Linked DNA regions of Canis lupus familiaris. The protein of the gene in region 1 interacts with the protein of each later gene in a biochemical or structural test. Links are inferred from orthologs where the notes say so. Each region holds a gene or a part of one and is shown on either strand. Other genes may lie near its edges.

Region 1 (4,489 bases):
GTTTTTGTATCATAATCTCCATCATGTTCTTCTTGGTCACATGCAGGACGCCCAGGTTGTTAAATCTGGGTGGGGGAGGGGGCGGAGGAGTCAGAAGCTTTGTAGGCAGTTCTTTCCTCCTGAGGCACCCTCTCTACTGCCAGGCCTCAGCTCAGCCCTCATTCCTCCAGGAAGCCTTCCTGGTTTTCACTTGGGGCCTGGGGTTCTGAGGCCAACCTGTCTCTCTCCTTGGTCAGATGCTAAACTCACAGAGGCAGGCTGGGGCCTAGGACTGGGAGGCAATGAGGGGGCACCTACTGGGCAGTCATGTCCTTGGGCCCCACAGACACGGCGCAGACCCCCAGCTCCGAGCATTGCTTGCCCACCAGGCTGTGGGCATGAGCGCGAGGTGGGTCACTGTGCGTTACCAGGTCCACCTCAATCTTGGCTGGTCCCTCGTAGTTACAGATCTGGGAGGGGTGAGGGTTGTCAGTAATGCTCCTGAACACACTGTTAGCCCACCCTCCATCCAGCACCATCCTGACTCACCTTGACTGTGGGATAAGTCTTCCGACCCTTCTCACTGGAAGCCCCTGGCAATCCTCCATGGGAGGGGCCTTCACAGCCATATCGAAATCGGAAGCCTCGCTGAACGTCCCAGGGCAGATTGACAATGTGAACAGGAGGGACCCCTCTTTTCCCCCCAAGCCAGTCACACTCCCAGCCATCAGTGACCACAATTGGCAGTGTCTCTCCTGAACCACAACACCTCCATTGTGATCAGTAGCAGTCAGCCGTTTCAACCCGAAGTGGCCTCCGTGATCAGTGACCCTCCCCATGGCCACCCAACTACAACTACCCCACTGGTCCCTACAGCCGAAGTCCTCCCACACCATCCCTTCCATTCACTCACCTGCTTAGGCTGTTCGACTATCACCAAGTAGGGTCCATCAGCTGGGGACAAAGGGGCCTTGCTGAGCCAGGATTTCAGGGCCATCCCCCAGTCAGAGGGCACATGCTCCTCCCTCCCCCCTCTCTAGGACAAGGGGAGCTAAGGAACTCACTAACCTGTCTCTGGGGCTGGCTCCTTGGGCTCTGCAATGCACGGGTCGAATTTGAAATCATCATATTCAATCATGCCATCCAGACCCTGGTTTGGAAACAGATTAGGGTGGCAACTGAATCTGAGACACCGGAGAGCCTTCCACTTCCCAGCCCTGGGTAGCCACTCCCTTTCCTCCCCAGACCCATAAAAAGCTCCTCTTGGAAAAAGTTTGCAGACAGGCAGGCAGACTGACAAGCAGGTTGAGATAATCAGAGGGCATTACAGGTGTAGGGGGGCAGAGGGGACTCCGACAGACAGGCAGACAGACAGACAGACATGGGGGGCAGCCGGCCGGTTTTAGGGCCAGGAGGCGTGACTCACTGGGTCGTAGCAACTTTCCATGTCTCTGGGCTAGGCCCGGCTCTGTCTGGTGGCTCCGGCCAGGTTCTGTTTCCCAGAGTGTTTCAGGCGCCCGCCTTAGGTGGGGGCGGGGGGGAGTGACGGGGGGTGGGAGGGAGAGACAGATCAGGACACGAGGGGGGGGCGAGTGGGCCCCAGATTTGGGGGAGGGTCTGATCTCTTCCAGCCACCCGTCCGGGTGTGGCGGGCGAGATCCGGCAGAGCGCGAGATCCGGAGCTGGGCTGGGCAGGGCCGGGGAAGCGGCAGGAAAGTTAGAACAGCTTAGGAAAGTCCCGAAAATACCAGGGGGAGGCGGGGCCGGAGGGGGCGGGCCTGGAAATGACGCCACTGGCCCCGCCCCCGCGGCGGGAGGGGCGCGAGGTCGGCGGCGGCCTCCGAGCTTGCAGCGGCTCTGAGGGCAGAGGGGCAGCCAGACCCAGGGAGGCGCCCCTGGTGATTGGGCCCCCTTCCTCGTCCCAGGGCAGGTGCGGGGGGCTGGAGGGCCTTTCAAAGGTGGGGGACGCTCTTAGGTCGGGGCGAGGCCCGCCTCCCGCCCCCTCCCCCTCCCCTGTCCTGGAGCAACCTTGGGATTTTCTACCCTGAGGGAGGCCACGGCTGATTCACCCGGGGGCTTTTGGGGGGACATTCCTGCTGTAGGAAGGCCTCCTTTCCGAAGGCCTGTAGGCGGGGGCTCTTCCCAGCGGGGGCCCCCGGGGTTCTGCCCCGAGAACGGACTCTGGGGCCGTGGGGCGGGGGGAGGAACAGGGTCTCCTTCTTGGGACGGGCCCTTCTGTTGCCTCTCCCCGAAACATCTCAGCAGTCATTGGGTTCCCACACCGCACCTGCTCCGGGTGCCCACGCCCCCTGCCCCAGGCCCATGGCCGTGTGTGTGTATCACAGGCATAGTGTGCGTCGTCCCATGTGCTTGCGTGGTGTCAGTATGCATGTACCAGTGAGCAAGGCTGTGTGCAGGTGAGCGTCTGTGAACTTCTCAGTGTGGACGCGTCTGAGCGTGTTTTGATATGTAAGGGCACAGGTGAACATAGGAGTTCGTGCGTGAAGGATATGGGTCCAGGCACCTGTGCACGGGTGAGCATGTTTGCGTGTGCGCGAGTCTGAATGCATGGACAGTGCTGTGCACTCGTTCGCATACGCGTAGGTGCACGTATGGGTCCGCGTGTTTTGTTTTGTTTTTTTGTACAAGGATGTCGATGAGTATCCGTACGTCTTGTTCGTGTGCGTCCTGTGTGTGCTTGCAGATACCGCTCTCCAGCCCTGAGCCTCGGTTAGTTAAGGGCCCTCCTTCCGCCCTTCCCCGTGTCCCGGCCACTCACCGCGGCGGCGGCTCCGGTTCCGGCTTCTCTCCGGCCCGACCCACCTCGGACGGGTCGCGACACTTCTCCACAGCCACCCAGGCTCCAGCCGGGAAAGCCCCTTTTCCACCCCCGGGAGGGGGGAATTCCCGTGACGTTTCCGTGCGTCACGCCCCGTGCCCTTTTTCATTGGCTGAAAGTTTAACTCCGGACTCGTGCAGCCAATCCGGAGCGACTCACGCACGCCCCTAGAGGGGAGATACTAGCTCAGGCGGAGGAGTCGGGAGGTAGGATGACGGGCCGCTACTGCTAGGGCTCTGGCAGGGGGACCTGTCGCAGGCTGGATTCGCTGACCGGGCGCCATCTCCCGGCCAAGGGCCCCGGCTCCGGTCTCTTTACCCGCCCCGCCAGCCCCCAGACAGCTGGCAGTCCCTGCTGCTACTCGGCTCATGCTGCGCCTAACTCTTGCCCACTTCTGAAGCCGGGGAACCCCAGAGGGAAGCTGGGGGGCCCCAGGCCTCGGGTCCCCAGCCCGGAGCGGGGCCCCCGCTGCCGGGAAGAGTTGGGGGAAGAGGAAGGAAGTTGATCTCGCAGTTGGTCCCGGGGCGCCATCTGGCGGCCCCTGGTGGAGGCGCACGGAGACTCGGTAATCCTCTCGTGTTGTCTCAACTCCGTCTCCCTTCGAAGAGAGCATCTGAACCTGAAACTTATTGTATAAATGGCAAGGTCACAGAGGGAGACTTCTAGATCTGAGCTCCGGCTCTCTGCGCCAGGGAAGGTAAATGAGGTGTTCATCTTGGAGACTCAGATCTTGCTCATCCATCACGGAGATTTGGAATATTAGAATTGAAAAGGCATCCAAAATCTTAAACGGTTCGAACTTCCTCCAATGTAGGAAATAACCTTTTATAGAGCTTCCAACCCCGCTTGAACACTTTCAGTGGCAACAAGATCAGCACTGGACTTCATAAAATACTGACTCTGAGGCTGAATATCTGTGATAGGTGGAGTCCTGGTAGAACACAGGCTTTTGTTTCAGTTTTTTTTTTTTTTAAGATTTTTAATTTATTTATGAGAGAGAGAGAGAGGCAGAGACACAGACAGAGGGAGAAGCAGGCTCCATGCAGGGAGCCCGACATGGGACTCGATCCCGAGTCTCCAAGATCAGGCCGTGGGCCGAAGTCGGCACTAAACCGTTGAGCCACCTGGGCTGCCCTGTTTGATTTTTCAAGCAATTTGCCCGTGACCTTTTTTTTTTTTTAAAGATTTTTTAAAAAAGATTTATTTATTTATGATAGACATAGAGAGAGAGAGAGAGAGGCATTGGGAGGGACAAGCAGGCTCCATGCCGGGAGCCCGACGTGGGACTCGATCCTGGGGCTCCAGGGCTCCAGGGCTCCAGGATCACGCCCTGGGCCAAAGGCAGGCGCCAAACCACTGAGCCACCCAGGGATCCCCAAGATTTTTTTTTTTTTAATTCATTTGAGAGAGAGAGTGAGACCACTGGCAGGAGGGGAGCAGAAGGAGAGGGAGAAGCAGGCTCCCGGCTGAGCAGGGAGCCCTATGCCGAGCTCTATCTCAGAATGCAGAGATCATAACCTGAGCTGAAGGCAGAAGATCAAGGACTGCACTACCCAGGGGCATCTGCCTTGACCTTAATAATGGAATTACGGGCCTGCATAGGTCAGCATGAGAGGTAGATTGTTATGGCCCTTGATATAAGCCACTTCCCCTTCCTCTTCCTCTTGCTGG
Region 2 (4,570 bases), on another chromosome or scaffold:
CACAGCTGCTCCTCACATCCCGGGTTAACGATCCACTTGGGGCGGGGCTCGAGTCCTGGGCAAAGTCCCTTCCCGGGGGGCCGGGGCCCCACACCGACTTTCAGGGGCCCAGAGACACAGGCAGAGATCGGGAGACAAAAAGAGATGGGGGCGGGGCCGGAGGCGGGGATGGAGGGACAGCGTTGCAGATACGGGGGGCGCTAAAAGACCCGGGGGGCCTGTGTGCCCCCTGGACAGATCCGTAGTGCGGCCCCCATTCCTCCGCGCCCCCCCCTAAATCCCCAAAGCCTCCCCCTTGGCCTCCCGTAACTCAGTGACCCGGACTCAACCCCAGCGACGGCCCCGCCCCAAGGGAAATCCGGGAAAGCCCCGCGCCGAGGCGGCCCCTCCCCGGGGCGGAGAGAAGGGGCGGGGGCGGGGCCTCGGGGAAGGCCCGCCCCGCCCCGCCCCCCAGCTCCGGGCGGCCTCTGAGTCATGCCCCCAACCCGCCCGGCCTGTTCCCCACCCACCAAGCCCGCCCGGAGGGGAGGGGAACGTGGGGGGGAAGGGGCAGCCAGACCGCCCACCCCACCCCACCCCACCCCACCCCACCCCACCCCGCACCCCGGGCCCCGTAGCCCGGACTCTGCGCCGCGTCTCCACGTCCCTTGCTGTCTTCCTCGTCTCTCCCTCCCCGGGTCTCTCCCGATCGATCTCTTCGCCCAGAAGCTCGAGCTGGGTAGAGGGGCCCTTCAGGCCGAGACCCACTGTGCACCCCATCCCCTGAAGCGAAGTTCTGACGCACGGCTGGGCCACACGGAGGAGGCCGGGATGGCGACAGGGCAGGCAGAGGGATGGCAGGCACTACCGTCCGCGCTGCTGGGCGCCTGCCGAGGGCAGTCCCTGACCTGGGTGCGTCTTTTTCCTCCCGCAAAGGAGGAAACGGCTCGGCGGAGGGAAGTGCCTGGTCAAGGTCACCCCGGCGAGGAAGTGGGAGTCGGGACTCGAACCCGCGTCCTAGTGAGCCCGGGGCCTCCTGGAACCCCTCCCTGTGGGAGAAGCTGAGATCAGACCGTACCCAGGAGACAGGAGACAGGAGACAGAGAGAGATGGTGAGAGGCACAGAGGACAGAGAGACAGAGCGAGAGACCCAGAAAGACACGTCTCCAGCCCGCAGAGACCCAGATACAGAGCTACAGAGATAGAGACAAGTAGCCAGAAAGAGCAAAACACTGAGGCAGCGCCCGCGAGAGGCCCGCAGCCGCAAGGGTGGGGACCCCGGCCCCCGACCCCGCCCCCTGCCCCCCCACCAGCGCCGGGGCCCAGCCGCCGGGGGCGCCGCGGGTCGGGAGGGGGCGGGCGCGGGGCGCGGCGCGGGCGGGACGCTCGGAGGGCAGCACCGCGGGGCGGCGGGAGCGGCGGCGGGTCCAGGAAACCCCTGGGGCGGACGGGTGGCCCCGGGGGGGCCGGGGGCGGGGAGGCGGGCGACCGGCACCGCCCCGGCCGACAAAAGTCCCTTCAGTTCAGCCGGCGGCAGGGGAAGTCCCGGCGCCCGGCGCAGCCACCCTCCGGTGCCGCCGAGCCGAGCAGCGCTCCGGCCGCCCGCTCGGCCGCCGTCTCCGGCGGCCCCATGCCCCGATGCCCCGCGGGGGCCATGGACGAGGGGCCCGTGGACCTGCGCACCCGGCCCAAGGCCGCCGGGCCCCCGGGCGCCGCGCTGCCGCTCCGCAAGCGCCCTCTGCGCGAGCCCTCCCCGGAACCCGCCGCCCCCCGCGGCGCCGCGGGCCCAGTAGTCGGCCCGGATCCCCTGGGCGGCGGCCCCGACTCCCCGGCGGTCCCCGCGGCCCCCCACGGACTGGCCCGGCCAGAGGCGCTTTACTACCAGGGTGAGTGGCTCCCACGGGTCCGGGCCAGGTGGGGGTCAGACAGGGCGCAGGGTCACCAGAGCCAGGCAACAGAGATCAGGATGCAAATACAGGGGCTCCCCAGGGAGCTGAGAAACAGGGGCGACGGAATCCAAGGTCCCAAGGACCTCGGGCTCTGGGGAGCTGCGAGGGAGCAGGGCCTGAGGTCCCGGGGACACGGTCATGGGAACCTCAGGGAGCAGTGCCTTCCGACATAGATATGGGGGTCCCAGGACACCGGGTGTCAGGGGGTCCTGGGGGACAGAGCCCAGTCTGAAAGCCACGATAGGAAGACCCAGGGGACAGTGCCCAGCAGGACAGATAGGGACAGATTCTTGCGGAATCAAGGGGGCAGAGCCTATAGTCCCAAGAACACAGAGTTATAAGCTCTTTAGAACCCAGATATTGAGGATTATAAAGACTCAGTGCTTTGGCCCAAGAAACTGGGGTTCCTGGCATCCAGGTATGTGGTATCAAAGGAAGTCAGAGAAACAGTGACTCGGGTTCTAAGAAGTCAGATATGGGAGGTGTCAGCACATCAAAATCTCAGGAACCATGATCTCAGGGACTGGTGGGAATCAGGAGAACAGAGTTTAAGCACCCCAATATCTGGAATCACAAGGATCCAAGGAAACAGACGCAGATAGTAGGGGTCCTGAGGAGCCAGCAGGACAGAGAATCTGGGGTCCTGGGCACCAGTTATGTATGGTCACACAGGCTCAAGGTCTCATTGGAGGTCACAAAGTCAGGTGGCCACAAAGTCAAGGCTTGGGAATGGAGGGTTCTAGGAATGGGGGGCAGGACCGGGCGATTCTGGGAGTGAAGGATTTAGGGTCAGGATGAAGAATTAAGGGGTGTCCAGGCAAAAAGCTGCAGGACACCAAGGCCCGGTACTGGAGATACAAGGGTCTGCAAACTTGGGGGTGCATGAATGGGGGCCCCCAAAGATCAGGAGATGAGAGAGGAGGCCAAACAGCATTCTCCCTGTCTCCATCCCTGATCTCAAGGAAGGGGCATCCCTTACCACAGCTGTCCCCACATCACCCATCCCTGAGTGGCCCCAAAGCTGCAGAAAGCCCATGCCTAGTGCCTCCAGACTTTGGCCCAGTTCCTGCACCTTCCACACCATCAGAGTAGAGCAAGTTAGAAAACCTCAGGGTGTGCATCAGGAGGCTTGCCACTGCCTCCTCTTTCCCATTCCCTGCATGAGAAGCCAGGCCTCAGTTTTCCCCATCTGTGTGATGGGTGGATATGGCTTCAACTGCTGCCATGGTTGGCATCTGACATTGTTCGTCTCCTTCTGACCCACCCACCCTTCTCCCCAACTCTCTACACAGTCACCCAACACCCAGTGTTTCATCCATTCTTACTTCCCTCAGCCACAAATTTACTAGGCAAACAGGCCCTCAGGTCCCCCTGCTGGGTGATGATGGGGCTCAGGCCTGTCCTTAAGGAACTCTGCCTAGGAGGAGATGGGGAGTCAGACACATGAAGAGATAAGTGATAATGACAGTGACCAGGGCTCACGGAGGACAGTGAAGGGGGAAGCTGCTGGACCCCAGATGGATGTGAAAGGCCACTTTGTCTTGGGCCTTTCGGGCCTGGTATGAAATGCAAAAGGGACCTTAGCAAACAGGGCAGCAGGAGCGAAGGTCTGGAGGTAGGGGGCGGGTTGAGGGTCTGTGAGCTTGGCCTCACCCTTGTCCTTCCTTCTGTCCAGGACCTTTACTTCCCATATACCCCACCCCGAATATGGGCTCCCTCTTCCCTCTCCTGAACCTGCCTACACCCCTGTACTCCATGGTGTACTCCATGGAACATCCCTTGTCGGCTGACATCGCTGTGGCCACCCATGCAGATGAGGACGGAGACACGTGAGTAAAGCCCCCCCCCCCCCCATAAATGGAAGAGCCAGCCCTCCGCCCACCTCACCCACCACCACACAGGGGCACTCAGCTTCCTCTCTGAAAAATGGGCAACCTGAGCACTTACCTCCTAGGACTGTTTTTGAAGCAGGCAGCTACAAAATTTTTATCCAAATCCAAGCATGAGAGGGGCGCCCGGCTGGCTCCGTCGATAGAACATGCAACTCTTGATCCCAGGGTTGTGAGTTCAAGCCCCACATTGGGTATGGGGATGACTTTTTTTTTAAGATTTATTTATTTATTTATTTACTTATTTATTCATGAGAGACAGAGACAGAGAGAGACACAGAGAGACACAGAGAGACACAGAGACAAAGGCAGAGGGTGAAGCCGACTCCATGCAAGGAGCCAGACATGGGACTTGATCCCCGATCCTGGGATCACACCCTGAGCGGAAGGCAGACGATCAACCACTAAGCCACCCAGGCGTCCTGGGGATGATTTTTAAAAAATAAAATAATCAAAGGTACCCAAATATACCCCAAAATTCTTTTTAAAACTCCAAACAGGAGAAAGATATTTCATTGATTGATTTGTTATATATGAATTATACATGTTAAGCTCTTAGCACTAAGCCTGGTAGGTTATAAGAACTCAGTAAGTACTGATTAATTAATATCATTGCTATTATATACTTTATGTTAAACCCAGCACACGTACACACATAGGAGTAAAAATTGCGCAGAACAAGAGACCCCCTTAATAGATGGGATCTACTTTGTATTTTCTATTCTAGACTCTTCCACTGTTTCAGGGTCAGAG

The links.
Region 2: the proteins of NFKB2 (region 1) and BCL3 form a complex in vitro, tested with the Homo sapiens proteins (2 studies listed by BioGRID). The link is inferred for Canis lupus familiaris from reciprocal best matches to the Homo sapiens genes NFKB2 and BCL3.

Annotation. Positions count from the first base shown.
Region 1 is NC_049249.1:15,091,891-15,096,379, reverse strand, and holds the start of NFKB2 (nuclear factor NF-kappa-B p100 subunit), read right to left. Parts: upstream 2,914-4,489; 5' UTR 2,759-2,913; intron 1,501-2,758; 5' UTR 1,427-1,500; coding exon 1,406-1,426; intron 1,130-1,405; coding exon 1,048-1,129; intron 934-1,047; coding exon 893-933; intron 628-892; coding exon 529-627; intron 450-528; coding exon 298-449; intron 66-297; coding exon 1-65. UniProt on the Homo sapiens protein: NF-kappa-B is a pleiotropic transcription factor present in almost all cell types and is the endpoint of a series of signal transduction events that are initiated by a vast array of stimuli related to many biological processes such as inflammation, immunity, differentiation, cell growth, tumorigenesis and apoptosis.
Region 2 is NC_049222.1:111,335,419-111,339,988, reverse strand, and holds the start of BCL3 (B-cell lymphoma 3 protein), read left to right. Parts: upstream 1-1,594; 5' UTR 1,595-1,609; coding exon 1,610-1,865; intron 1,866-3,603; coding exon 3,604-3,757; intron 3,758-4,235; exon of another isoform or gene 4,236-4,570. UniProt on the Homo sapiens protein: Contributes to the regulation of transcriptional activation of NF-kappa-B target genes. In the cytoplasm, inhibits the nuclear translocation of the NF-kappa-B p50 subunit.